Linked DNA regions of Astyanax mexicanus. The protein of the gene in region 4 purifies or fractionates together with the protein of the main gene of each other region. This does not show direct contact. Links are inferred from orthologs where the notes say so. Each region holds a gene or a part of one and is shown on either strand. Other genes may lie near its edges.

What was found.
Region 1: the proteins of polr2b (region 4) and rpap2 purify together in Homo sapiens (affinity purification with mass spectrometry; 3 studies listed by BioGRID and IntAct, with this or other methods). This does not show direct contact. The link is inferred for Astyanax mexicanus from reciprocal best matches to the Homo sapiens genes POLR2B and RPAP2.
Region 2: the proteins of polr2b (region 4) and uri1 purify together in Homo sapiens (affinity purification with mass spectrometry; 3 studies listed by BioGRID and IntAct, with this or other methods). This does not show direct contact. The link is inferred for Astyanax mexicanus from reciprocal best matches to the Homo sapiens genes POLR2B and URI1.
Region 3: the proteins of polr2b (region 4) and mediator of RNA polymerase II transcription subunit 26 purify together in Homo sapiens (affinity purification with mass spectrometry; 3 studies listed by BioGRID and IntAct, with this or other methods). This does not show direct contact. The link is inferred for Astyanax mexicanus from reciprocal best matches to the Homo sapiens genes POLR2B and MED26.

What each region holds. Positions count from the first base shown.
Region 1 is NC_064411.1:55,060,772-55,068,227, forward strand, and holds the start of rpap2 (putative RNA polymerase II subunit B1 CTD phosphatase rpap2), read left to right. Parts: upstream 1-4,433; 5' UTR 4,434-4,454; coding exon 4,455-4,506; intron 4,507-4,755; coding exon 4,756-4,801; intron 4,802-5,217; coding exon 5,218-5,332; intron 5,333-6,432; coding exon 6,433-6,531; intron 6,532-7,456.
Region 2 is NC_064416.1:20,395,872-20,403,883, reverse strand, and holds the start of uri1 (unconventional prefoldin RPB5 interactor 1), read right to left. Parts: upstream 3,023-8,012; 5' UTR 2,686-3,022; coding exon 2,614-2,685; intron 428-2,613; coding exon 393-427; intron 1-392. Other genes in the region: pdf (peptide deformylase, mitochondrial), read left to right, coding at 4,009-4,603, 4,696-4,853; spata2l (spermatogenesis associated 2-like), read right to left, coding at 5,994-7,478. UniProt on the Homo sapiens protein: Involved in gene transcription regulation. Acts as a transcriptional repressor in concert with the corepressor UXT to regulate androgen receptor (AR) transcription.
Region 3 is NC_064411.1:30,858,730-30,865,556, reverse strand, and holds the start of mediator of RNA polymerase II transcription subunit 26, read right to left. Parts: upstream 3,018-6,827; 5' UTR 2,756-3,017; coding exon 2,684-2,755; intron 1-2,683. Other genes in the region: trnau1apb (tRNA selenocysteine 1-associated protein 1-like), read left to right, coding at 4,448-4,483, 6,144-6,241, 6,494-6,593. UniProt on the Homo sapiens protein: Component of the Mediator complex, a coactivator involved in the regulated transcription of nearly all RNA polymerase II-dependent genes.
Region 4 is NC_064426.1:1,740,834-1,748,259, reverse strand, and holds the start of polr2b (DNA-directed RNA polymerase II subunit RPB2), read right to left. Parts: upstream 3,002-7,426; 5' UTR 2,886-3,001; coding exon 2,867-2,885; intron 1,931-2,866; coding exon 1,858-1,930; intron 1,744-1,857; coding exon 1,593-1,743; intron 1,311-1,592; coding exon 1,198-1,310; intron 876-1,197; coding exon 656-875; intron 1-655. Other genes in the region: noa1 (nitric oxide-associated protein 1), read left to right, coding at 4,161-5,451, 6,535-6,699, 7,419-7,426. UniProt on the Homo sapiens protein: Catalytic core component of RNA polymerase II (Pol II), a DNA-dependent RNA polymerase which synthesizes mRNA precursors and many functional non-coding RNAs using the four ribonucleoside triphosphates as substrates.

The DNA.
Region 1 (7,456 bases), on a different chromosome or scaffold from region 4:
ACCTAGTCAGTGAGTTAGCTAGTTTACCTAGGTCATCTGGTCAGTGAGTTAGTGGGTTAGCTAAGCTAGTTAGGTTACCTAGTCAGTGAGTTAGCTAGTTAACCTAGGTTATCTGGTCAGCGAGTTAGCTAGCTACTTAACCTAGGTCATCTGGTCAGTGAGTTAGCTAGCTACTTAACCTAGGTCATCTGGTCAGTGAGTTAGTGGGTTAGCTAAGCTAGTTAGGTTACCTAGTCAGTGAGTTAGCTAGTTAACCTAGGTTATCTGGTCAGCGAGTTAGCTAGCTACTTAACCTAGGTCATCTGGTCAGTGAGTTAGCTAGCTACTTAACCTAGGTCATCTGGTCAGTGAGTTAGTGGGTTAGCTAAGCTAGTTAGGTTACCTAGTCAGTGAGCTAGTGGGTTAGCTAAGCTAGTTATTATGCCCCAGGGTAAAGCCAAGTAAGTGCTGATTACGGTTAACTAGCTAACTCACTGACTAGGTAACCTAACTAGCTTAGCTAACCCACTAACTCACTGACCAGATGACCTAGGTAAACTAGCTAACTCACTGACTAGGTAGGTTAGTGTTCACTAACTAACTAGTATAATTTAAGCATGGATATTTAGCACACCCCGCTAACATGAGCATCTTAATAGAGTTAAACACTTACTTAAAAAAGAAATATAACATTAAACATAACGTCTGTATGAAATTTAATTGGAAAAGTACCTGCTGGTGCTGCTGTGAGCTGAACCCCGTTCGCTCCGCCATGTTTGGAAGAGCGCTTGAAGCTGGCGGGGTGGGCGTGTTCTGTCTCAGACGAGGGTTCAGGGTAGGTGACCAATAGAGATTAAAGGGGAACGCCTTCTTCTAAGCCCCGCCCACCCGTGAAAAGTGTGCCAAAAATCAGAAGCAAAAAAATGAAGCAGAAGCAAAGGAGAGATTCCAGAAGCAAAAGTCTTTAGCAGCAAAATCCACAAAAATCCACAGAAAATCCAAAAAAATCCAAAAATGAAAGCAAAGACTGGCAAAATCCAAACTAAAATAATTTTCAAATAAGTGCAAAGAATAATAAAATAACCAAATATATTTAAATATATATATTTGATATATATTTTTTCTCTTTTGAATTTGCAACATACATGTTTTACTTTTGATTCTTAAAATTTTGATTGTGGATTTTATTTTTTTACGTAAAACTTTTGGCACAAAATTCACTCCATACACCATGACCAACCTGGCCAAAACAATATGATCAGTTTGATGACCAGCTTGTTCCAAGAGGGTCCAACACCATGACCAATCTGACCATAACAATATGACCAGCTTGATGGCCAGCTTGTTCCACAATGGTCCAACTGGCCACAATAATATGACCAGCTTGGTCTATGAGGGTCCAACACCATGACCAACTTGGCCAAAAGAATATTACCAGCTTGATGGCCAGCTTGGTTCATGAGGATCCAACACCATGACCAACCTGGCCAAAAAAATATGACCATCTTGTTTCAAAACAATATGACCAGCTTGGTCCAAAACTATATGAGCATCTTAATGAGCAGCATGGTCCATGAGGATCCAACACCATTACCAACCTGGCCACAACAATATGACCAGCTTGGTCCCCAAGGGTCCAACCCCAGGATCAACCTGGCCAAAACAATATGACCAGCTTGGTGCAAGAGGGTCCAACACCATGACCAACCTGGCCAAAACAATATGACCAGCTTGATGGCCAGCTTGGTCCATGAGGGTCCAACACCATGACCAACTTGACCATAACAACGTGACCAACTTGATAACCAGCATGGTCCATGATGAGCCAACACCATGACCAACCTTACCATAACAATGTGACCGCATGATCCATAAGGGTCCAACACCATGACCAACTTGACCATAACAACGTGACCAACTTGATAACCAGCATGGTCCATGATGAGCCAACACCATGACCAACTTTGCCAAAAGAATATGACTAGCTTAATGACCAGCTTGGTCCACGAGGGTCCAACACAATGACCAACCTGGCCAAAACATTATGACTTGATTGGCCCATATGTGTCCAACACCATGACCAATCTGGCCACAACAATATGACCAGCTTGATCTAAAACGATATTACCAGTTTGATGAGCAGCTTGGTCCACATGGGTCCAACACCATGACCAATCTGGCCACAACAATATGACCAGCTTAATGACCAGCTTAGTCCAAGAGGGTCGAACTGCAGGAGAATACACAATAACTACAGGCTACTACAATACAAAACTACAGTTATATTATCTACATAATACTAAAACTTAATTTACACACATTTTAACTCGTATTTATGCAGTAAAAGACTCAGTGTGGTTATAAATGAGTATAATAAGCCCTGGTCTGAGATCAGCAGTCTGGTGTAAAGTGCGTATAAGAATTGGTAGAGCTGTAATGCGGGCAGATCCAGGGCTCGTGCGCTACACAGCACGCGGATCAGCACATGGGTAACCGGAATAAACAGTAATAATGCTACACCGCGCTGTAATGAATCTACACTAATGCAGAATATCATCCAGAACTCACTGCGGGGGAAAAGCTGCGGGAAAAGCTGAGAAACGCTCTGAGAGCCGCCGCTCAGCTACACGCCTCTCCTCAACACAGGCAACGCAGTTTACAACACAACTGTCCCTCCTCGCTCGCCGTAGAGCTGTGATGTCATGATGAGAGCGTCTCAAATCCAGTGGAAGTGCCCTACGTAGGGAGCCTCTCGACACTTGGGCATAAGTGTATGGAGCACAAGACATACGCATAAATAAATAGATACCTAAATAAATAAAGTGGTCTGTAGATAAATCAATAAATATACAATTATATAAATAAATACATAAATTAATAAATACATTCATTTTATCCTTACATATATAAAAGAAATCTTTCATCCATTAACTTTTATTTGTCCTGTTTCTGAGTTTTTACATTTATTTATTTATTTATTGATTTATTTATTTAATAATTATTTATTTATTGACGAATCTATTTATATATATATATAGCTTGTAAAATAGATAAACTAATAATTCTACTTATAAATAAACAAATAAATGAATTAATACACAATTATATGAAAATACATACGATTGTAAAATAGATAAATAAATAATTATATTTAAAAAATAATAAATAAATAAATAAATACACAATTATATTAATAAATACACGAATAAACAAATACACAATTATATTAATAAATACATGAATAAATAAATAAATACAAATAAATACATACATAATACCTAAATACTTCGATACATAAATAAATAAATAATAATAATAATAATAATAATAATAATAATAATAATAATAATAATAATAATAATAATAATTTTGTCCTGGAAAAGGTAATAATTACATTTATGTCATATCTTATATATTTTTTGTGGATTCAAAGAAAATTTAATCTCCCATTTATAGCCCTAAATACTTGTTTGTGTTTTTTTTTTGTCCTTACACTATATTTAGCTTAACTTAGCTTAACTTATAATGGATAAATTATTCGTATAAATAAACAAATAAACGAATTAATACACAGTTATATAGATAATTACATAAATACATAAATAAATACATATGTTTAGTCATTTATTTGTATTTATTTTCTTCACTTTTTTTTTTTTACGTATCACCATATTTCTTTATTTATTTATTTCTGTATTTATATGTTAATTAGTTAGGCGGTCCATTCCTCGCTGAGTATATTGTTAGTGGATTAAAAAGTGAATTTAATCTCTCATTTAAAGCCCCAAACTCTTGTTAAAAACAGCTTAGATTGTAAAGTAGATAAATAAATAATCCTATTTAAAAATAAATAAATACATACATTTTTCTTTTATTGTTTTATTGATGAATTTCTACATTTCTTCACGTATTTATTTACGTACCACCATATTTCTTTATTTATTTATTCCTGTATTTATATGTTAATTAGTTAGGCGGTCCTTTCCTCTCTGAGTATATTGTTAGTGGATAAAAAAGTGAATGTAATCTCTCATTTATAGCCCCAAACGCAAAACAAAAAATAAATACACAACTATATGTAAACAAATACATAAATAAATATATAAATAAATACATACGTACATTAATACATAAATACTTCAATAGATACATACATAAATGAATAAAGGCATTTTGTACTGAAAAAAATAATATTTACTTTTATATCAGAAATATATTTTTACATAATATGTTTTATTTGATTTTTAATGGACTGCGTAATATATTGTATAACAATACAATCAAATATTGACATATTGTCCAGCTGTGATCATAAATATATTACAGTCTCATGATGCTGTTGTGGAGACATCATCAGAAGGGGAAGCCATATCTCAAATCTCAAATCCTTCTGTTAACCCGGAAGCTGACTACATAGTGAACAGGGGAAAGATTTGGGACGCGCCCCCGCGCGATTTGTTTTGAAGGCAGAAAGCATGGACGCCGGGGAGAAGAGGAGAGTTCGCTCCTCTAAAGGCAGAAAGAAAGGCGAGTTAAAGCTGTAGTTTAATAAATAATGATGTTATTAATGTGGATATTAATGTTAAATATCTATATAAAGTATAAACTGTACAGAAAGCTCATTTATCTGGGTTAGTTAGGCTGTGGGTAACTGAACTCTGATGACTTGCTGGTTTCACTCTCAGCTCTGCTTCAGTTAATGAAGGTTTTTTGTGTATTTTTTTCCCAATTAAATAGTAATAATTTTAATAATGTTTTATTTATTGTGTGTTACAGGAGGGAGGGATCCTCCAGCCAGGTCAGCTGCTGAGGAGGCCAGGAGGTAAGATAATATAACTATAATTAAAAAAATATATAAACTCATATATTATTATATAGATGTAATAAACATAGAGTGATCTATTATAAGTGTTTATTTCTTTTATTGTTGATGATTATGGCTTACAGCCAATGAAAAAACCCAAAAATCAGTATTTCAGAAAATTAGAATATTATATAATAAGACCAATTCATACTTTTGGTACGCAGTGTGGTCAGTGTGAAGCCAAGTCCTGCTGGAAAATGAAATCCACATCTCTATAAAAGTTGTCAGTAGCAGAGGGAAGCTGTAGGATATGAAGTGCTGTAAGATTTTGTGGGAAAACTGCACTGCACTGACTTTATTAGACTTGATATTAAAACACAGTGGATCAACACCAGCAGATGACAGACATGACTCTCCAATCCATCTGTTAACAGGAGGGAGGTTCTGAAGGAGACGCTGAGGGAGAAGTTGGAGTTGGAGAGGAGGGCTCGGCACGTTGTGGAGCGTCTGCTGGACGATAGCGTGACGGAGGAGCTTTTAATCGACTGTGTGAGATTACCGACTCGAGCTACTACATGAATTATACACAATTAGAGCTATTCTAATCATACATTTACCTCAGCAGTGCAATTCTATTAGCAGTGCTATTCTAATCTTAAATACACATACGCAGTCCTGTTCTACTCACAAATCTACCCAAGTAGAGCTATTCTAATTATATATTTGTAGGGGTGGGCAAAATGGCCCTAAAAAAATATCACAATATTTCATGGTATTTTTGCGATAACGATACTCTAATGCACTTTATATATCTCCATATGTCTCAAAAGTGCTGCAGTTAAATGAATGATACTGGACATATATAATATCTAGTCTCTAGTAGATGTTAAATGGGAAACATCCCAGTGTGAATTTTTCTTTTGCTAAAAACAGCAAGGGATATGGCACAATATTTCAGGGTGTAAAATTGTTCACGATATTCAAAAATGTTGGCGATAATATAGTGTACGAATTGAAATGTCACACCCCTATATATTTGCCTCAGTAGCAGAGCAGTAGTAATGGTGCTGCCATTGCCATTGAGGTAAAGTAAACACTATTATATATATATATATATGCCTTTTTAATACATTAATTATGCATTATTTTCTTTATATTTTTATATATTTTATATATCCTCTTGAGACCCTACGTCCTCATATGTGGCCATTAAATTTCTGCTTCTCTGCACCCTGATAATAAATTATTATAATAATTTTTTTAAACGTTGACCCTTTGGCCTCATATTGAGATACTGCCCATAGCAACTAGTATTATACTCAATTGATTAAAAAAAAAAGATGGCGGGAATCCCAATCAAAAGTTTTTACAGCCAGTCCAGGCAGATAAATGGTCCAGGTAACAATTCTTATTGAATTTTATGTTTGAAAGTAGTTAATTTACTTACTGTAGAGTTGGGTCCTTCTGATCCCAAATGGCAAGAATATAACTGTCCCCATATAAGGACAAAGACGAAGTTTATATTTTATATTTGGTAGATCCTGCTAATCTCCAATATCTAGGATATATTAAAAATATACACTAAGCAAAAGTCTGGGTCTGAAGAGGATATTCACAAAAGTGTTTTATTTGCTGTTTTGGTGTTTCAGGCTCGACTCATCACTCCAGCAAACTATAAAGATGCGGTGGAGGAACGCTCCATCGCTAAAATGTGTGGATATCCTGTATGTCCAAACAAGCTGACCAGTGTAAGAACCTTATTTATAATAACGGTGATTAAGCTCTGAGTGAGTGTGCTGGGTGCTGGATCACTATTCAATATATTATTACTATACTGTGCTGTTTAGCTTATTTTGATTGGTTGATTTGTTTCTGTTTTCCTCTTTTACATAATACAATTTTTAAGGGAGGTTTTTGATCTTAATATATATATATTTTTTTTTTTTATTTCTGTGTATTTAATTAAATATATATAATATTAAGTATATATAACAATTAAAAGTGTTCAATAAATAAAACACATACTTTGTTTAACTCTCAGCAAAGCCAGACAGTTTTGTTTTCCCACAAAATCTTACAGCACTTCATGCTTCTTCCCTCTGCTACTGACAACTTTTATGGAGATGCAGATTTCATTTTCCAGCAGGACTTGGCTTCACACTGCCCACACTGCTTCGCAAAAAAACAGTTGGTCTTATATAATGTTCTAATTTTCTGAGACACTGATTTTTGGGTTTTCATTGGCTGTAATCCATAATCATCAACAATAAAAGAAATAAATGCTTGAAATAGATCACCCTGTGTTTAATACATCTATATGATACAGCTCTTCACCATTTCAAAATTTCTTTCATTTTACCAAATTGAAAACCTCTGGAATATAATCAAGAGGAAGATGGATGATCACAAACCATCAAACCACCAAACTGAACTGCTTGAATTTTTTGCACCAGGAGTAAAGCAGTATAAAGTTATCCAAAAGCAGTGTGTAAGACTGGTGGAGGAGAACATGATGCCAAGATGCATGAAAAAAAACTGTGATTAAAAACCACCAGGGTTATTCCACCAAATATTGATTATTTCTAAACTCTTTATGAATATGAACTTGTTTTCTTTGCATTATTTGAGGTCTGAAAGCTCTGCATCTTTTTTTTTTGTTAATTCTACTCTAAT
Region 2 (8,012 bases), on a different chromosome or scaffold from region 4:
TTCCAACTTGTTAGATAAGTATCTCACATTACTCATAATGCAAACAGCACTGGGTGAAAGTTAGAACGTGCTTTAGACAGTTAAATGCGGTTGCAGAAGAACACAAAAAGAAGACCTATCTGCAAGTTAACAGACATCCTTACTGACTAGCTTCAAGCCGAATGTTGAGGGTGGGCCATCCCATCCTCCCAGAGAGAGCACAATTTCCATTTGGAACCATTCAACTCACATACTAAAATTATAATGCCAAAACACTAAACATCTGTACAATGGATCTTATTTGTATACAGTAAACTTTATATATATATTTTTAAATAGCAGTAATTACCTTAACAAGTTGCAAAACAAGAAAATAGACTAACATTTTATGAATCTTCAGTAGGACCACTCACCAATGTGTTATCTGTCCTTTGCAGTCTTTCACCACCTGTTCATAGGAGTCATTTTAGAACATTGCAGAATAATGGACACAATGAAACATATAAAACAAACAATTTCCAACAATAAATCCTTTCCTAAACTAAATATATGGTTCCCTCAAATTAGTAAATTGTTTTCTAAATGCAACTAAAGCATCCACTCTAAACAAAAACAACATTGTGCTAAATCAAGAGAAAGGTCTGTTTATGCCTGCTTCTTTCTGGCAAAACACAGTATATAGAGTATTGTGCAAAAGTTTTAATTAGTGGGAATTACAGTATGAAAAGGCTTCTAATCTGGGCAGTAAGTATTTATTAGCTCAGTAAAAGGCTAGTATTACAATAAATACAAACAACAGGTTTATAGTGTTCATTCAGACATTTTCAGTAAATTTCCTTGTGTAAGTCTAGCCTTATTTATAGTCATAATCAAATCAACACCTGGTTTGGCAAATCAGAGCTTAATGATGTTATTTTAAGTGGACTGCTGATGGAAATTAACACATGCACATGCTGACTGAGGGCATCCACTAGAAATCTGGAACTAAACATTGTTCTTCAGACTAGCTCACAGGATATAATCTAGGATATTCTTGCTACTTTTGATTGCATTTATGATTTTTAAGATAAAATGAACTTGAGTACTCTTTATGAGCCTAAAACAAAACTGTGTGTGTATTACAAACCTTGATCATTTAGGGGCTCTGCGCTAAATACACCTGTAAAGAATACTTACCACTGAAACATACTGGGTCATTTTATTATGAGGATCAAGTATTAATTACAGATTTAGCTAAAATCTATTCAAAAACATACTTTTTAAAATGTTTCTTCTTTGAGGAGAGACAATATTTCAGTGTGTTCTTTTCACTTCAGAATTCATACATTCAAATGAATGTCCATACATCTCAAATAAGCAAATGTGTTTAACATCCTTATATGCCTTTTATTAACTGGCTCTTGAATCTAAATATTTTTTTTTTCATGGCAAAAATAGTTTTGTAAAGTTTTGTAAGTAGAAAGCATCACTACTAGGTAGTTAGCTAGATGGCCATTTTATGTGCCTGCTAAATTGACTTTACTAAGAATAGTTTTAACCCTTGCTAAATGCAAAATTATTTTAGACACATTACTGTTAAATTATTGAGAGTAATGACATATTATTTAGTAGGGGTAGAACAGTTAATGATAACTAACCTTAGCAAATTTAGGCAGCAAATTTAATAGCTTACCTAGATAGGTCTGCCATGTAGCAGGGTTGTAAAAAAATCAGGATTTTATTGAGAATTAGCTCTAAATTCCATTCAATTCTTGAATTGAGGTTGCAAACAGAAAGCAGAATTGCAATTCAGATTTGAATTAGATGAAATAGAACTGGATCGCACAGATTTTAATTATACACAATTAAGGTGTATTTAACATTGAATCTTTACAGTATATGTTACATATGATTACAACATTAATTTAATACAGATATTATTGAATGGATTACAAATTAACATTAAATACATAGTCTATAAAACCAATCATTGCAACTGTAGCTAATAACTTACAAATTAGGATATTTAGGAAATCTGAGGAACTGTTGACTATTAGATGAAACAACATTAGCCATCCTGTAAAGTACACAGTTTCATTTGATTAGTTTGAAATTAATATATTTTATATTAATTATGTAACATTAATGGAATGGATGCTTAAATGTTAGTGTCTGAAAATCCATCTGAAAGAAAATTTTGCTTTATGTTAAAAGTATCACACTCTCATTCATATGTAATGAGAATGAATTGTTCCACTTCTTGCAACTCAAACTCAAATTCAATTTAACATCCTGTAAGGTGGACTCAGTTTATTTTCATTTTCTGAACTAATTTAGATTATAAAACTCTGGATTTTGCACAGCCCTTATATTAATTTAACTGAACCCCAGCTGCCATGCAACACGTGACTGACCCTTTCTAGAAAGCACTAAGGTTACAACACACGGCAGCGAGTCAACTACGGTGTTTTACTTCATTAAACTTCACTATTAGCTAAAAACAGACAAACAGCTGCGGCTGAAGCTAATGAAAGCAAAGTTAGATGTGTGGAATTAACACACAGTAATGTGAACAGTGTAAACAGGATGTTTGCCGAGCTGCAAACAAACACAAACCGAAAGCGTCCACAGACAAGCCAAACCCCCTTTCTTTACCTTTCTGTGCTCCTCTTTCAGCCTCTCTACACCCTGCGGAAGATCATAATTTGCGTTCATATTTCCAGCCATTGCGTCCCGTGGGCCTCCTGTATCTCACACAAGCACAGATTGATTGGGTATATCCACCACCACCACCACCACCTCCTCCACCACACTCAGGGGTTTGAAGTCCTATAGAAATGTTTATGAATGCCAGTGAACGTATTCCTCAGCCCTGGTGTCCTTTTAGTCATCAATGAGGCGATAGAAACGGTCCAAATCGAGATTGAGACCATTTCACACTCGCATCGCACAAAATCTTCCTCTTCCAAAATTATTCCTCTGCTTATGTGCGTGCAATCCCCTCAGCAATGTCCGTCCGTCTGCGCCATGTTCGTCCCCCAACAAAAACACAGCGAAGACACGTGACCCGCCGCGCACCCGATTTGTAGAGGCAAGGCTCGGTCTGCGCATGTCTAAAGAGAACAGCGATCTACAAGTCAAACACATGCCCAGTTTAACACGATGTTTTATTTGAAAATCAAGGATTTCTTTTCTTTTTTCTTTTATTTAAAAAACAATACACTCTTCACACAACTGTAACATTCCCACTATGACTGGAGTGAGCTATTACATGAATACATATGTATACACAAAATACATCTGTGTATAAATTAAGAAATGTTTATGTTAAATAATAATAACGTTAAATAATCCATATGTCTATAGTTTAATAAAATATTTTTATATATATTTCTAAGTAAATAGAACATAAAAAACTATGATTTGGGCAAGGATTGTGAATTAAAGTTTGAACTTAAATAAGCAAACAAGCGTTTAAAGTCCGTATATGTCCTTAAAAACTGTCTCTTGAATAAATGTATAAATCTAATTTATTTTTTACGCCTTCTGTTTTGGAACAAAGCATGTGAAGACAGAAACTCTAAGTCACCACAATAACCTTTCATAATAATGTACTTAAGAACATAATTTAAAAAGCCAAAAATACCCCCATAAAATCAAATCTACATAAAAATAATGATATACTTATGCAAGTGCTATGCAAAATATAATGTGTGTGCTGTTTATTACAGAGATGTTCACAAGTATGTGAACTTTTATTTTGAAAAATCATGTTCCGGATCCCATGAACATGCTAGACCTTGTGAGGGGCGAGTAGGGAATCGTGAAGGTAAGTAGTAGGTTTTGATCGGTTTAAGTACTGCTGAAATTTCAGTGGTCAGACACTGTGTATGAAACAGCACAGCCACGGTTTTGTGCTCTGGTGCGATGCAGGGTTATAGAGGTAGATGTTGCACACCAGCATTGTTCTGTAGTTATTTGTTAATGATAAAAGCTTGCTTGCATTTTTTTATTCACAGGTGAAACAGAGCTGCACTCCTGACCACTGAGATGCTGGTCATAAACAGACATTTGAGGACATTGCTGCCCTGTGTCTTGAGATTTCAGGCAGCAACCAATGATGTTATGATCTTCCCCAGGACTTCCTCCCCATGTCCACTAACATGCCCTGCACTTGTACGCAGACACACCACGAACGAAAAAGCGCGCTCATACCTTCAGTACCTCAAAAGAAAAGTCATAGCCCCACCAAAACCTCCATACAGCCACGTGTGTCAGGTGGGCGACCCTGTGCTGCGCTCCAAGGCTGCAGCAGTGGAGCCCAGCGCTATTGGAGGAGCAGAGGTGCAGCAAGTGATTAAAACCTTGGTGAAGGTCATGCGCAGGCTGGAGTGTGTGGGACTTAGTGCACCCCAGATTGGTGTACCTCTCCAGATCATAGCTCTGGAGTATCCAGAGAAGATGCTGGAGGACAGCCTACCTGCTTCCATCAAGGCCCGTGGCCTGGTCCCAGTTCCCTTAAAGATATTTATTAATCCACAGCTGCGCATCTTAGATGGAGAGATGGTCACCTTCCAGGAAGGCTGTGAAAGCATATCAGGGTTCTCTGCCTCTGTTCCACGATATATTTCTGTGCAGGTCACAGGTAACAACCTTATAATCTTATAGTCTTATAATGTATAGCTTGTGAAGAGTGTATCTATCGTGATAACCATCTATAAACATTTCTTTCCAAAGGACTAAATGAAAAAGCAGAGTCGGTAACCTGGCAAGCAACTGGATGGCCTGCAAGGATACTGCAGCATGAGATGGATCACCTCGGTGGAGTTCTTTACGTTGACCGCATGGACAGTAAAACTTTCATTAATGTGAACTGGGAACAATACAATGAATAGCAGATCTGCTGATTAAAAGTTGGGAGTACACTTGTCTGGAAGCTGCTTTAAGTGACTTATTTCTGATAAAAATGGTCTATATTCATTTAATCACATAAAATATAAATTACATAATACAGTTGCTTTGTGTAATATTTTGGCTAATTTATACAACATTTAACAGAACTTTTAAGAACTATTAATGGTTACATGTGTAAAAAGCCAATGGTTAATGGTATAAATACGATATTGGCTATTTTGAGGACATCCAGTTATATGTTTTGTATACTGTATTTTTTTGTTAAACCTTTATAGCAATGTAAGGCTGTCCGGTAAATGAACTAGTTTCCTGCAAGTGTTAAAAAAACATGTGATAGTGGTTCAACTAGTTTTAAACTGGTCTTAAAACACTCAGCAGTAAATGATGAAAGTAAGATGTGTTAGTATTTGCAATCTACCTGCCTAGAACTTGGTGAAGAAAAAAAGCAAATACTTCTGAACTGTAAATTCTAATGGGTTATCACACACGACAAACATAATATTCCATATCACCTATTTTATTTATTTTAATATTTTTAGTAGCAGCAACAGTTGTGCATTAACCAAAGAGCAGACACCTCATTTTGCAAAAAAGGGTGAAAACAAAATATTATAAAAAGAAAAAAAAAAAGCAATCTGGACAACATTTATATAGGCACTTATATATATGGGCTTATTAAAGAAAAGAAAATCTGTTGACTGTGTGTCAGTAGTCTGATGTCACAACATTCACAACTCGTATAACACAATAGACATCAATGGTAATTTTGTGCTCTTGTTATTCAGTTTTCTATTTGTAGTGATGTTTTTTTTAATAATTATTTGGCAGTAGCAATAGAGTACAAATAATAGGTGTTTTAAATATGACAAAGTGCATTTAATCAGATCATTGGTGTCATGCAAAACCCTTGTACTTACAAAACAGCAACATTACAGGAGACAAAAAATCCTTAACCTTCAATTGAAGTTAATATAAAAAGCATTATATTGGTCCCTTAATCGTGTAATTTTGGCACAAAATGAAAACAACTGCCAGATTAAAAAATGAAACATGGCAAAAAATAGAGATCCAATGTTTTGACGTGACAGCAAAGAAAGTAAACTATAACTGTAACAACATATTTAAACAGCGGAGTGTTCAAATGGCATACCACACTTGCATTCCAAGGGATTCTTAAACCAACATTTTTTGCAATACTGGGCACAGCAGTACTTGCACAGTGTGTGAATTTTATGATATGAACATACAGCGCAAAATGCTTTTAGCCTCTCCATTTCATGTTTTCCCGAGCACTGCATATCACAGGAAATGGAGTGGAAGACTCTGCAAGTAACGCAAACAAAGATGGGCGGTTCTGAGGTACAGCACTCGTGGAAAGTTATGGGCCTAGAAGGTGTGCGCACTTCTTCTTTGCTCACTACCTCCAAATATCCCATCGAATGACCAGATTCTCTGCACCTCTCTACTTCCTTGCACAGGCAGTCATGCACTTTCTCACAGGTATGGCACACTATGTGAGGTTGATCTTCTGCCCTGAGGCATGTGTGCCTCCGTGGTGGGGCAGCCCCATCCCTCTCTTCCTGAGGTGGCTGTACTTTTCCTGTTTTTTGAAGGGTATGTTCCATAAGTTGACAGTACCTCAGACCATCACACTGAAAATCATGGATATTTTGGCAGTTGTGGCACACAAGGAAGACATCAGAGGTGGAACTCTGCATACAGCTATGCATCTTCAGGTTACCTTTGGGGGCTTTTTCCCAGTTTTGTGTGGGTTGTGGTTGCACATCCATTCCGTGTTGCTGTACCTTCCTTAAATCATGCCCTTGTTCACTGCATCTGTTCAACCACTGACATTCCAAGTTATGAATTTGCTTACATTGGACACAATAATAGGCATAATTGTCATACGACTCAAAGCACCTGCATATCTGTGGATCCACTTTTGAAACCTTGACCTGTGCACCACCTGTTAGTGTGGGAACTTGCTTTTCATTGTCATTCTCAGTTTTCAGTGGCTTTGGACTCAACTCTGTCTTCTGCGGAGGACTAATCTGGCAAGTCATCTTTGAGACACAGACAGGCTGTGTCTTACTAGTGTTTTCATCAATCTCTTTCTTTGACTGAGTAGTAGCCCTGAGTGACAGTGGTGTCCCTTTGGGTGGAGTGTAATGACTGTTGGGTGGTGCAGTCATGTGATTAGTCTTCGGCCATTCTCCAGGATCCTGATGGTCATCTGTGTATAAATCGAGCTCTGCGGAGGTATCATGCTCCGAGCTCTGTGGAGCAAGCTGCAGCTTTCTCTTTGCACTCTCCAGTGCAACTTGCAGGCTGTGGCCAAGCTTTCTTTCCCGAATGAGTTGTAGTTCCCATTTCACACCACTACCCAAAGGAACCACAGTGCCGAGCAGCTGACACTCCATGCGAGCAGTGAAGAAAGCACAAGCCAGCTGAAGAAGAGAGTCTGCGTGAACTGGTTTAGAACTTAGCCTCAGCTCCTCCTCTTCAGTGGTGTCTGCAGGCTGGTATCCTAATAATCTGAAGAGTTCTTCAGCTTGCTGTAATGTCAGAGCAGGTTTGACATAGTGGGTGAACATACCTGAAAACATCTGAAGAGAAGGAAATAAGTTACTTTGTGTAATGCAGTTAAATTATGTGCAGACTTAAATATAACAGATACGAAATATTTAAAATAACACTTTGACTTAGTAGTAAAAATAGAGGTTTAATGCCAAGACAGCTCATAGGTTATTTTCCTGGCAGGATTAGTTATTGTTGTGAAACTTGAAAAGATTACCAACTTAAAGCCCTTCTCCGTTTACCCCCAGCATTCGGAAATATAGCCAATGCTCCCAAAAGGCTTACAATGCTATCTTTAGGGGAATTGCAAAGAAATCATTGTTTTTACACCATTATCAAGCTCAAAGTAGCTCTACACTTCAATGGTGGAATTCCAAGAGCCCTGACGTTTAAAACTGAAAACTCTGAAAGTGAAGTGTGGAGCTACTTTGAGCTTGTTAATGATGCACTGTCACTTCTTGTTATTAAACACCTGACACAAACATGATAAGAATCTGATTTAAGAACAACAACTAAAATGTAGTCAGAAGACTTGCTTTTCTATCACATTTTCACTTTCACAT
Region 3 (6,827 bases), on a different chromosome or scaffold from region 4:
GTGCTGCAGCTTTGCACATTTGTCTTCTGGTTTGTCAATTTACTATTGCCTATAGTCCTATTAACTAGTCAATGCTGCACTGTCCAAATAGCTGTGTCGCTCAAGGTTTGTGTCCATGTTGCGCAGTTCTACCAAACTTGTCAGTGTGGACGAAGTTATGACGTGTTCTACTTTCCATAGTAGACGTTACACTGCTCTAGCTTAGCACTGCAGATGTTGGTTTAACAATTCAATACTCTATGTGTCACCTAGAAGTTACACTACTCTACCTGAGGTTATCTAGAGGTTACACTATATAAGTAATTGTTGAATGTTACACTACTCTATCCATTTTCAGCTAGATGTTACATTTTAGCTGTTATGTCTTAATATTATACTACTCTAGCCGATGTGTGAGATGTTATTCTACTCTAGATTACATTAACAACATTTTACATCATTTTAGCCATTAGTTATTGCCTAGATGTTACACTACTTTGGCTGATGTAAGTGAGATGTTACTTATACTTAAACTTATTCTTTGTTGCCCAGCTGTTCCATACAACACTTTAACTAATGTCAGCTAGATGTTTTACTAATTAGCTGATGTTGCCTAGATGTTACACTAATCTATCTGATTCCAGTTAGATGTTGCATATTTATAGCCAGTGTTGCCTAGATGTTACAGTACTCAAGCTGATGTACGTGAGATGTTACCTAAACTTATTCTTTGTTGCCCAGCTGTTACATACACTACTCTAACTAATGTCAGCTAGATGTTACACTAATCTATCTGATTCCACTTAGATGATCATTTTTACTACTGGTTGTTGCCTAGCTGTTACACTATTCTAACTTATGTCAGTGAGATTTTCACCTAGATTTTAGACATTGTTACCTAGATGTTACAGTACTCTAGCTGAAATTGGTGAGATGTTACTAGGGCTGGGAATCAAAATTCTGTACCAATAAGGTACTGACCAAAATATCTCTGTAATACAGAGTACCAAAATGTAATCTGGTGCCCGTTTTTCGAGACTTCTAAACTGGCGTGTGACACAACATGCTCATTGTTTGATTATTCCAACAAGATCCAAAAGTATGGCAGTCTCTCATGGTGACCGTATGAGAATGAATTTTCTCATGTCTCTGTCTGTTAAATACATGCTCTGTGAGAATATTTATCGCTTTTTGTATGGTTACAATCTACAAAAAAAGTATTGTTTGGGCATCCGTACTGATTTTTTTTAATGATATCCAGCCCTAGATCTTACACTATTTTAGCTGATGTCAGTTAGTTGTTGTTGCCTAGATGTTACACTACTTTAGCTGGTGTTGGTTTAATGTTAACACAATTCTCATCAAAACTGATGTCAGTGGTGTTATGTAATTTTTTTTTTTCAATTGTTGCCTAGATGTTAGCTACAGTACACAAGCCAAAGTTAGCTACGGTCTTACAGCAATACCTGATGTTAAACTACTCTAGATTTCGTAAGCTAGCTGAGTGTCATAGTCCTCTGTTTGATGTTACCTGGATGTTAGCTAGTTTAAATATCTTTAGCCAACTTTGTTTAGGTGTTGTAATGAAATATCCTTATTTGTTGCTAATGGTACCTGGGAACTGACAGCTAGCTTAACAGCACTTAATCTCGTTCAGGTAGAACTTTAGACGATTTAAAATCGTAGTTATTGTCCTGTAAGCTTCTGTACTCACTTTAGCATCAACAGAGTGTCAATTTAACTAACTTAAACATCGTCTGACAGCGAGATCTAACTTGTTATTTAAAAAAAACATCGCGGTTTTCCAAAAAGTTGACATACAGCCCAAGACAAGTTAGCTAGCGCTAGCTAACTAACAGTTAGCCATGTGGCTAAAGCTAGGCGACCGTCTATCCAACGTTACATAGCTTAGTTAGATTAGCTAGCAAAGTTGTTAACATTTATTTGGTGTGGACATACTTTCACTGAACGTTTTAAACAGTTGTATATGTTAAAATTCGTGTTTGTGTAGTTGTGAGGGGAAACTGAGAAGTACAACTTTTCTGCAAAGTCTGAAAATGATGTAGTTAGCTTAGCATGGCTAGTTAGCGTTAGCAGGGTTAGCTTAGCTAGCTGGCGGCTAACGGTGATCATTGTGTAACTTGTGTCAGAAGGCAAACGAAGCTTTTGTTATGGAGGGGAAAGTAAACGATGTGGCCGCTATTATATCGCGGGAAGGCGCGGATTGAGTTAATAAAGGTGTTAAACGGTGATGCCAAAGTTTTGCGTTTCGCTCGCCAACTTTGGCTAACAGCTAGCCAGCTGGATCAATTGCCATCTTTTAAACACCAACCTAGCTAGCTAACGCTAGGCAAGTTAACGTTAGCAGCTTCTCATTTGATCTTTTCCAGTCCACCTTAAATGGTGCTGCACTTTCAACGCGTAGCCTGAAGCGCCTGAGTGTGACTGCCGCACTAGTAACAGTCGTTATTTAAGGTGGAACGGAGAAGATGTGAAGAGAAGCTACCTAACCTAGCTAGTTAGCTAACTTTATCCATGTCCATTATCGTTTTAATCTACGCAAAGCGATACGCGGTGTGTATTCGCAGTCTGGAGGATCTCAGGAGTGTGATGGTGAGGTGCTTTAAACGAGTACCCGCAGAGTTCAGCACTCTCCCCCGGGGCTGGCTGGCCGCCGGCCGGCCGGCTAACGGCAGCTACTCACATTGCTGTGGCTATCGATGGCCTGCAGCAGCCGGTCTCTCATCTGCTGCGGGGTCGCCGAGGCGGTTGTCATTGCCTGCTCGGAGCGAGTCGACGCGCCGACGGGGGAAAAACCCTCCGGGTTCGGGGCTGCGGGCTCAGCGGGGACTCACAGACCGCGGCGGGCGCTCGGAGCGGACGGGAACCGCATATTGGTAAGGTGATCCTCGGCTCGTGGATGTATGAACGGTGTCAGGCGGACAGCGAGGGCTGGACAGTGGAGTCTCTCCGCTTCATAGCTCACTGTCTGTCTGTCCCTCCCTCCGCGATACCACACTGCTAAAGCACGGCCCCGCTGCATTGTGGGAAGCTAAAACTCTCAAAAACGTCATTACGTCATTAGCGTGGCAGTGGAGCTCTGTGTCATAAATAAATAAATCAAAATAAATAAGTAAATAAATTCAGTTTCTGAATCAGTTTCTCTGATTAAACTATCCATAGGTATATGCTTGATTAAAACGAACATTGGGGTTTTATTCTATAAACTACGGACGAAATTTCTCCCAAATTCCAAATATAAATATTGTAACAGAGCATTTATTTGCAGAAAATGAGAAATAGTCAAATTAAGGAAAAAGATACAGGGCTTTCAATCCTCAAATAATGCAAAGAAGACAAGTTCATATTCATTTAAAAACAACAACAACAATACTAAAGTTGTATCTTGGGAAGAGATCAGAATCAATAATTGGTAGAATAACCCAGATTTTTAATCACAGCTTTCATGTGTCTCGGCATGCTCTCCACCTGTCTTTCACACTGCTTTTGGGGGACCTTATGCCACTCCTGCTGCGGAAATTCAAGCAGTTCAGTTTGTTTGATTTCCTGTGACCATCTATCTTCCTCTTGATTACATTCCATATATTTTTTTATTAGGGTTCATGGCTAAATATCGGGCTGGCCATGAGACTGTCTTGATCGGGTGGTCCTTCATCCACACCTTAATTGATCTAGCTGTGTGGAATTGCGCATTGGAAACAAAGCTGAACTGCTTGAACATTTTTTTGCCAGGAGTGGAATAAGGTCACCCAAAAGCAGTGTGAAAGACTTGTGGAGAGCATACCAAGATGTATGAAAGCAGTGATTCAAAATCAGGGTTATTCCACCAAATATTGATCTCTGAACGTAGGATTGTTGTTTCTAAATGAATATCAACGTGTTTTCTTTGGGTTTAGGGTTTGAAAGCACTGTACCTTTTACATTATTTTGACAATTTTTGACATTTTCGTCAAATAAATGATCTAAATGACAATATTTGTATTTGTAACTGTATTTGTATTTGCAAATGTTATCAGTGGTTTATATAACTAAACCACAAGGGTAATTTTACTAGCAAAATTATATGGATCATTTTAAAGTGGTGCCTTGTTTTCAGAGCTGTATACTGTATAAATATCAAATGTGTAATTATATGTTTGTATTTTGGCTGTGACTTGTTCCCACCTGTATTCACTGCATTCACACCTGCCTAAATAAACTGCATCAGGGGTGAAAACCGAAAGCGAATCGGAGTCCTGTTAAACCCGTTTAACTGTAAAGGGCGCAGTGCTGTGGCTGTGGTAGGTAGGGGGCGCTACTCTCCCCGTATATGATCCCGCACTGAACATACACACAGGGGGAGGAGAGGCCGGACAGGCTGCTCTGAGTAACACAGCTAGTTTAACACACACCGAGTTTATTTCAGTTTAAACTCAGGCTTAGGGTCAGTGTGCGGACCGGCAGCAGCATGTTTAACCGAATGACCAGCCTGTGGATGGGGGACGTGAGTGTTAAACCGAACTTTTAACTCTAAAACTCTTAATTATACAGCGGTTAACTGCTGTGGGTTATGAAGCTGTAGACACGAGTTAGCATCGTGCTAACGTTACGTAGCATTAGCTTACTGACTGAGTTAAGCAAGGAGCTAGCTTAGCCTAGCGTAACTAGCTAATAAACAACTATATTTACCTCTTTAACACGTTATCTTTACTTAACCCTGGATATATCTGTTTATTTTATATTAAACTGAGTCAACTCTGACAGGAATGTGAGACTAGCTCTCATAAAGCTCATAGCTTTATGTCGTTAGCTAGCGTTAGGTAAAGTTAGCCTCTTATTTCCGTTCCACCTTAAACCAACAGCTGCTGGTTCTCTCATGATCAGATATTTAAAGTGAAATGGGACGTTTCTATAAGATTTACTGAAGCTACGAGCTTAGTAAGCTAGTTTTTAGTGCAGAAGTCACAAAAGTTAAACTTTACAAATAACTATAGTTAGCTAGCTTACACAGAAATGTGGACACCCCTGAGTTGTAGGCTTAACAAGTAGTTAACTAGCTAACTAATAGATTAATATGCTATTTGTCTGTCTGGCTTACTTCAGTTAAAGCTACAAATTTGTAAATCTACAGCTCTGAGAAAAAAGAGAGACCATTTCAGTTTCTTAATCAGTTTGTCTGATTTTGCTATTTATTGGTATATGTTTAAGTTAAATAAATATTGTTATTTTATTCTATAAACCACGGACACTTTCTTCCAAGTTACAAATACAGATATAGTCATTTGGAGCATTTATTTGCAGAAAAAAGAAATGGCTGAAATAACAAGAAAAGGCAAAGCTTTCAAATCGCAAATAATGCAAAGAAAACAAGTTTTTATTCATAAAGTTTTAAGAGTTCAGAATTCAATATTTGGTGGAATAAACCTGATTTTTAATCACAGTTTCATCCATCGTGGCATTTTCTCCTCCACCAGTCTTACACACTGCTTTTGGATAACTTTATGCTACTCCTGGTGCAAAAATTCAAGCAGCTCAGCTTGGTTTGATGGCTTGTGATCATCTATCTTCCTCTTGATTATATTCCACTAAGGTTTTCACTTCTTCTTTTTAAGTGGTCCCTTATTTTTTCCAGAGCTGTTTAGTGAAGTCAATTTACAATTGTAACTAACCTTGTTAGTCTATGTACCTTAAATATAGAGATGCACATGTCTGTGCAAATACCTGTGTAAGTAAAAAAAATCATTAACTACATAAAAATACCTTCTTAAAATAATCACCTTCTCAAATAAACTCTTTTTTTTTTTTTTTAGAAAACATGGCTTATGAGAGTTGTTATGGTTGGCAGTATCAACCTTATTAACAGTATCAACCCAATAGTTTTAATTTCACTCCAATCACTTATACACAGGTTGCATTATTATTATCTTTACATTTTGGATCAGTTCTGGTGAAATTCCTGTATTTTTATTATGGCAATATATACTGTACTGTCAGTTTTTCGTATGTCATGCAGCCCTATATGGAACAGAGGGATAATGACAGTTAAATAGCCTAAGGCTATAAAGGGAATGTTTTAAGCACTTTTCTTTAAATTAGAATTCTTATTGTTTTAATTGTTTTAGTCAACACTAGCTCTGTACTAGTTTTATGCTTTTATTTTACAGCTGGACCCATACATGGATGAAAACTTCATCAAGCAGGCATTCAGCACAATGGGGGAGACGGCCTATGGTGTGAAAATCATAACGCACAGAGTCACAGGGTAAGAATTTTGACCTTTAGCTATTGGTAGAAGTGTTCTCTGACGGTATTTTGCAACACAGCAATAATGCAGTTGCTTCAGAGAAGAAGTTCAACATATTAATCTGTATCAATGTATTTGTATGTTTAACAAAATGTCCTGTGTGCAATATGTGAATAATAGATTGTTCTAAGTTGTTTTGGTTGTAATCTCACAGTGCTGTTGATCTCTCACTCTCTCCCTTTCTCCCACTCTTCCTCTCCCTCTCTCCAGAGGCTCAGCGGGGTACTGCTTCGTGGAGTTGGCAGATGAAGCCAGCGTGGATCGATGTGTTCAGAGACTGAATGGGAAGCTGGTTCCAGGGTCAAATCCTGTGAGTGCTGAGATTAATTATTTCATATTTATTTATATTCATAGATTTAATATTCATTTATTTAGAGTTTAGAAGTTTATCCAGCACAGCCCCCACCTGCTATGATTAAGACTCCACAGTATTTCTGTATAAGTAGTGATTCGGAGACTCAGAGCTGAATGTCTTCCTGAATAAAGGTGGTGAAGGCTGTTTGTAATTGACTTTGTTTGAAGCTGGTGAATAAACTCTGTTAGG
Region 4 (7,426 bases):
TTTTCACAATTCTTTAAAAAACAAATATATCAGTAAAAATGCAATTTAAATAAATCACCAAGCCCTAGAACTAGACCTGTCAAAATAACAATATTTTGTGGTTTACTGTGAAACAATTTTACTGTGCATATTAAAGACCAATAAATTGCACTGATTTAATGATTACAAAAAAGCAAAACAAAGCATGCATACCCTTTTAAAGTCAACATTATGATTAATTACCACAATTCTCAAATATTATTGAGGTCATGTCCATTTATTGTATGATAAGTCAATAACGTGCTTAAAGTAACTGAAAGTATAAATAAAAAAAAAAGAAATTTTAAACAAATTACAATAAAAAAAAAGCAATGAACGTTTTCATCAAATTTTTTTTTTTTTTTTTGCCAGCCACAAACAAGTCCACTAAAAGCACTGTTAATCATTACAGTAAATAAAATATAATTTATTTTTCTATTTCTTTAAAGCTGGGAAGGCACGGGTAACTTCCATATTTAAATCACATTAGGCATTTATCTGCAACCTAACCTGGATTTTGTCTTCAAAATATCTAATCTAAACGTTTAAATAGAGCAAAAAGAGAGTATATGAAACATTTATAAACGATGATAAAGTGGTATTTATAATAAGATGAAATCAGCTATCAGATCCTGACCTTCTCGGAGCCGTTGATGATGAAGTAGCCCCCCGGGTCCAGGGGACACTCGTTCAGCTCACAGAGATCACGGTCCGTCAGGCCGCTGAGGAGACAGTAGGTGGAGCGGAGCATGATGGGAATTTTGCCGATGAAGGTTTTCTGGTGCTGCGTCTGAAGCTGCTCCTCTCCCTCCTTTATGATGGTCTTGGTGATGTCCACGTACAGAGGAGCCGAGTACCTGAACCAGCAGAGCATTTTACACAATAAATCACACAACTTTTAACATCTTATTCTTACATTTTCACATAATTATCTGAACTTTCTACTCCTTACATTTTAATAAAAACAACCTATTTAGTTTCAGCTGGTTTTCATTCCGGCTTCTCATCGTTCAAGAAAACCCCTATCCAGATAAATCTCTCCATCCAGATAGAGTGAATCTGATTGTGATTGGATGAAGAGAAGTCTAAACATATACCATTCCGACTCCCTATTGGTTTATTGGTTTATACTATGATCCATCACACCTGCACACGCCCCCCAAAGGCTGTTGTACTCACGTGAGGTTTCGGAGTCTGGCCTCATTGGGCATCATGGGTGATGGAGCTCCATCTCTTTCCCAGTGTGTTGGTTTGGACAAATAGATCTGCTCAAACTTCAGCAGATACCGAGGCTACAAAAAAAAAAAAAAAAAAAAAAAAAAAAAAAATCACATTAAAAAAAAAACTTTCACAAACAGCATTTTATGTTTTATTGATGAATAAAAACAGAGTTTAGGCCTGTCACAATTAACTTTTTTTGATAACCTATTGTACAAAATCACTGGAAAAAAACACTATTTAAACAAAGCTGACGTTAGGGGTGGGCGATATAAAATAATATTAATAATTATTATATTATTGTTATTATAATAACAGATGCTAGATATGTGCAATCACATTCGGCATTAACTTACCGGTTCCTCCACCTCTCCGGAGGTGTGCTGAGCTTCAGCCTGTAGGTCTATGGGTGGAGCATCCTCCACGATCCTCTGAACAGACATCTGAATAAACTCATCAAATGAGTCCAGCTGCTGTCGCACCAGGCCCTTCTCATCAAAGTAGGAGCTGGAGAATAAAGAAGAGAAAGCATATTTTTAACATCTGGCCAGTGGACATTTGATTTAGAACAAAATGCTTAAATAACAGAGTTCAATGTATTAAAGCAGCAACATTATCTACCTGATAACAATCCAGCAGGCTTCCTGCCACAGATCTGGGGTGATTTCATCATCATCTTCATCATACTGGATATCTGGAGAAAGAAAGGGAGAGGTTTATTCTCAGAGACTAAACTACATTTTCAGCAGACTATCAGATTCTCAGTGCATCAACAGCAGCAAATAAATCTGGTTTAATCAAGGCCAGAGGTAGCTATAGCTCAGCTTAGGCTATGATCTTACCCACCCAAACAGGAGATGAGAAACTTTATATCTTTACCTATAGATAATAGCAAAACAGTTTCTAATTTTTAAAACATTTCAAGTGCTGCAGATATAGGAACAGCCAGTAGAAAACCTTAATAATTTGTGTGAATTAAAAATTAACCAACAAACCTTTTTTTCTAGAGCTGTATATATTATATATTAGGTTTATTTGAGCATACGATTGGTCAATTCAGAATGCAGTCAACATGTAAACTGAGTGCAAACAAGTAACTACAAGAATCTAACTGAAACAGAGATATATTTTTTATTTTACTGAAATAAATCATATTGGTAAAATGCAATCAATAACAAGACATAACTTTTATTACTATATATATATATTACGTACTGATAACCGTCCTATAATCAGTATGAATAATATAAAAAAAAAACACGTGAAAATATGCCCACAACATTCCTACAAACTTCTGAAACACTTGCCTAGGTTAGCTAACAGCTAGCTACCTAAACTTTATTTATTTAACTAGATACGCTTTTTTATTATATATTCTAGTACAAACAAAGCTTAAAATCACCCGCTGATATAATTTAAAGAGTGATTATCGAAAAATAAACTGCATTTATTACTGAAATAAAGCAGAAATCCCAGTATTTTGAGTCTTAAATGAGAGAATAGTCTGTTGTCTATAAAGAGCTGCTAAGCTAACATGCTAACTACGTTGTGTTAACGCGCAGTTTACAGCACATTAAACCGAATTACGAAGCAGAACAGAGTATTTAAGCTTCCAGCGCTTTAAACAAACCTTCATCCTGATCATACATGATGTTTACTGTTGTTTACAGCCTTGTTTACGGTAAACAAACACAAAAACGTCCCGTTAAAACGCGCTGTATCTGTTCACCGAGCCGCCGGCGCGCGCGTGGCGTCACTTCTGGTGCTCGCGACCGAATTGTACGTTCATATATGTGATCTCTTGCTTTTACTAGGAATAAGGTTTTAATTGATTTGTGTGAGTTTTAATTACAATTATATAATTATTTAATCATATGTGTCACTTTGACTAATAAAAAATAAACAAATCTTATGTATTTTTGTTTACTGCAAAGTATTATACTGAAAATGGAAAAATCTTAAATAATATATATTTTTTCGTTACTTAAGTAAAATATATCAATAAAAAAACTCCTAAAAAAATGTTAATAACCCCAAAAATACGGCATTTTTTAACATCTATGATAGATTGTTTAGAAAATAAATTAACAAAAAATATTTTTACTCTTTCTCTCTTTTCATAATAACTAATGATAATGAGTTAAGCTAGTGTTACATATTGTATTGTATTAGTGCACTATATCAATTGTACACAATATATTACACAATCCAATAAAATAAAAAAACATTCATATATTATTTTACAACATTTTATTTATATAAATATTTTATAATTAGTTATTTTGAATGTAAAAAATCAAATCGTACTTGTTTATTCTTAATGCAAGATTTGAATTCATGTATTATGTCAGTTATTTACAATATATTACACAATCCAGTAAAGTAAAAAAAGACACGTTGATTAATTATTACTATTACTAGTTTTTTATTGTATTGTATATGTATACTTTATTTTAAAACATAATAAAACAGTTTGGCGATTAAATACTTTTCTTCTTCTTCTTTTTTTTTTAGAAAATAGCGTAAGTGTCATTATATTAGCATCCGGTGCTCTGTCGATTTGTGCTATTGAGCTATATATGGTCTCAGTCGTTCTACGCACACAATTTGACACGCTTTTACATATTTATATGTTGTTTTTTATCATAATAAATTAAACAAATATTTTTTCTATACTTTTACTGAAAGCATCGTTGTTCAAATCTCGTTTGCTATCCCAATTATTACAAAATACACAGCACGGCAACAAGTTTTGACCAGGTAGCAGAAATCGACACAACACTGATGACGTCTTTTACCAGCGACAGACGAAAACACTCCTCCTGTCTGTGTTCACGTGTGTTCGTGAGTTGATCTGAGATTTCTTTTTGTAATGTATAAATGTTTATATCGGTTTATTGATATATATTGCTTATGTTATCACGATGTTTAAATTATTACAGCTATCTGCGGTTCAGTTTTCGTCTCTTAAATGTTTAAAACGTGTGTCAGAGCTAGAAAACAGAAGATGGTGTCACCTTTACTCGGGTCTTCTGTCTCAAAGTAGCAGAAACAGCTGTGTTTCAGTTGACAGGACTAAATGCTTAAGATTAAGATTTCACACCACTGTGACAGTGACTTTAAAAGACTCTGAAAGAACTGAAATACATAAAGAAAGACTTCAGTCATTATCAGGATCATCTTCATTATCTTCCACTCTACATCCTAATCAGACCAAAGCAGTGTACTCCTCTGTAGAGCCAGATAAAGAGGAGGAGTTTGCTTTTCTTGAGTTTTCTGATGTTCAGGACCAAGAACAAGAAGATGTTCCAGAGCATCTTCGCGTAACTGAGTCCATGAAGGTCAAAGAGGACAAAGCGCCCAAGATTACCAGCGCAGAGCTGCGGCACAAGGCCTTGGAGCTTCAATTGAAGTCGTTGAGAGATGTTGCCACCAAGGAGGTGGACCAAGAGGCGTCCATTGAGTTCCACGACGAGGGATTTCCACTGGAAAAGTCATCTAATAAGAAGAAATTGAAAAAGAAGCAAGAGCATAAAGTCTACGGTACGCCGGACGCAGAAGTTCCAGTAAGTGACTCCTGCTGCACCGGCTGTGGTGCCCTGATGCACTGTACCATCCCTGAAGTACCTGGGTACCTCCCCAGCGAGAAGTTCAAACAGCTGATCGAGGAGGACTCCTTAAAGCAGGCGGTGTGCCAGCGCTGCTTCCTACTCGTCCACCACCAGAAAGCTCTGAATGTCACAATGTCCAAAGAGGAATACAGGAAAATAGTCGGTAAAATAAAGTCTCAGAAAGCGCTGGTGCTGCTCATCGTGGATCTTCTGGATCTCCCAGACTCCATCGTCCCAGACCTGCCGCAACTCGTGGGCCAAAACAAGCATGTGGTGATTTTGGGGAACAAAGTGGACCTGCTGCCTGGAGACACAGATAACTACCTGAAGAGGATCAGAGGGCAGCTGGCGCAGTATTGTGCAGACGCAGGTGTAGCCATCACTGACCAAAAAGACATCCATCTCATCAGTGCTAAGACTGGGTACGGCATAGAGAACCTGATCACCAGGCTGCAGATGTCCTGGAAGTATAAGGGGGATGTGTATCTGGTTGGCACCGCCAACGCTGGCAAGTCTACGCTGTTCAACACCCTGCTGGAGTCTGACTACTGCAAGTCCAGAGCCTCAGACGTGATCCACAAAGCCACCATTTCTCCATGGCCAGGTAATATATATTATATATATATTCTCTCGAAGATATACACACACACTCACCATAACATTCTGACCAAAAATGTGTAGTTGAGATGAAGAAATACTTCACTACTGTACTTAAGTACTAAAATACTGTATCTATATCTACTAGAGTATTATTTTTACTTCACTTCTTAAGTAATTAGGTACCAAAACACTGTATCTGTATCTATTGAAGTATTATTTATTACTTCACTACTTAAGTACTAAAATACTGTATCTGTACTCTAATGATACTTCATTGCATATTTTAGATGAGTTTATTTTTTAATCGTTTTTTTATGTGCTGAATTATTACTAGAGACCTTGACTTGAGTAAAACGAAAAGTGCTCGGTCAAAAAAGTGAATTAAGTAGAAGTGTTTTTTAAGCTTTACACTTAAGTGGAAGTACTAAAGTATTTAACGTTTTCTGTACTCAAGTATTGCAAGTAGTTTGTTGTAAAATGTAGTACTAAAATACTGAAAATCTCCAGTAGATACAGATACAGCATTTTAGTACTTCAGTACAGTAGTGAAGTAAAAATAATACTTCAGTAGATACAGATACAGGATTTTAGTACCCAAGTACAGTAGTGAAGTAGTAAAAATAATACTTCAGTAGATACAGATACATCATTTTAGTACTAAAGTACAGTAATGAAGTAAAAATAATACTCCAGTAGATACAGATACAGCATTTTAGTACTTCAGTATGGTAGTAAAGTAAAAATAATACTTCAGTAGATACAGATACAGTATTTTAGTACTTCAGTATGGTAGTAAAGTAAAAATAATACTTCAGTAGATACAGATACAGTATTTTAGTACTAAAGTACAGTAATGAAGTAAAAATAATACTCCAGTAGATACAGATACAGTATTTTAGTACTTCAGTATGGTAGTAAAGTAAAAATAATACTTCAGTAGATATAGATACAGGATTTTAGTACCCAAGTACAGTAGTGAAGTAGTAAAAATAATACTCCAGTAGATACAGTATTTATGTAGTATCTGTAATTATAGAACTATACACTTATTATAGAACACACTCTGTTTTCATCCTTGTTTATGAAGGAACAACACTGAACCTGCTGAAGTTTCCCATCATCAATCCAACACCGTACCGGCTGTTCCGGCGGGCGGAGCGTCTGCGCCTCGCGGCCCAGGAGACGGAGGAGGACCTCAGCCCGGAGGAGCTGAAGAGGATCAGGCAGTTCAGCAGGCAGGGGTACCTGGTCGGTGAGTAGAGAACCTGCTGTAACCTTTATGCTACAACAATAGAGTAGAGGTACTTAGAGTTTAGCTTTAACTTTATTGTACTGAATAGAACCCTGATCTTTATCAGTGTGTAAAACTACCTCCACCATGTTTAAAAGCTGTACTTTACTTTGGGGGTCTTACTTACAGTAAGAGTGTATGAAACTACCTCCACCATGTTTAAAAGCTGTACTTTAGCATGAAGTCTATCTGCTTCTTAATGGCGCTCTTTTAAGCCACCTAGAGAAAATTCAAATAATAAAAGGTTATAATTCTATATATTATCAAAAATAAAAGTGATTTTTCATTGGCATTGCTCAAAGAATCACATGAGGACATGGATTTAACTTTCTTTTTTTTCGCTGTAAAATAAACAGGATATAGTCCAGGGTTATTCCTGATTTGAGTCTAGGAAATCGACAAACTCTCTTTAATAAACACAGTATTTATACCCTCTTATTATCTGTTGTAGGCATCAATGTTCTTTGGGGTCAAGAACATTTTAAAACCAGATGTTTTAACAGGGAGGTCTTTTGTAAAGAATATAATAATAATTATAATAAGTCAACAAACACATATAACATGACATAATCTGTAAAAATGTATTTCTAATAATTTTCTGAAGGTTTAAAATTCTGGGGTCCAATTAACCCCAAATAGAAATATCAGTAGCTTTATATAAATCAGAGATCTGATTGCAGGTCGGGTC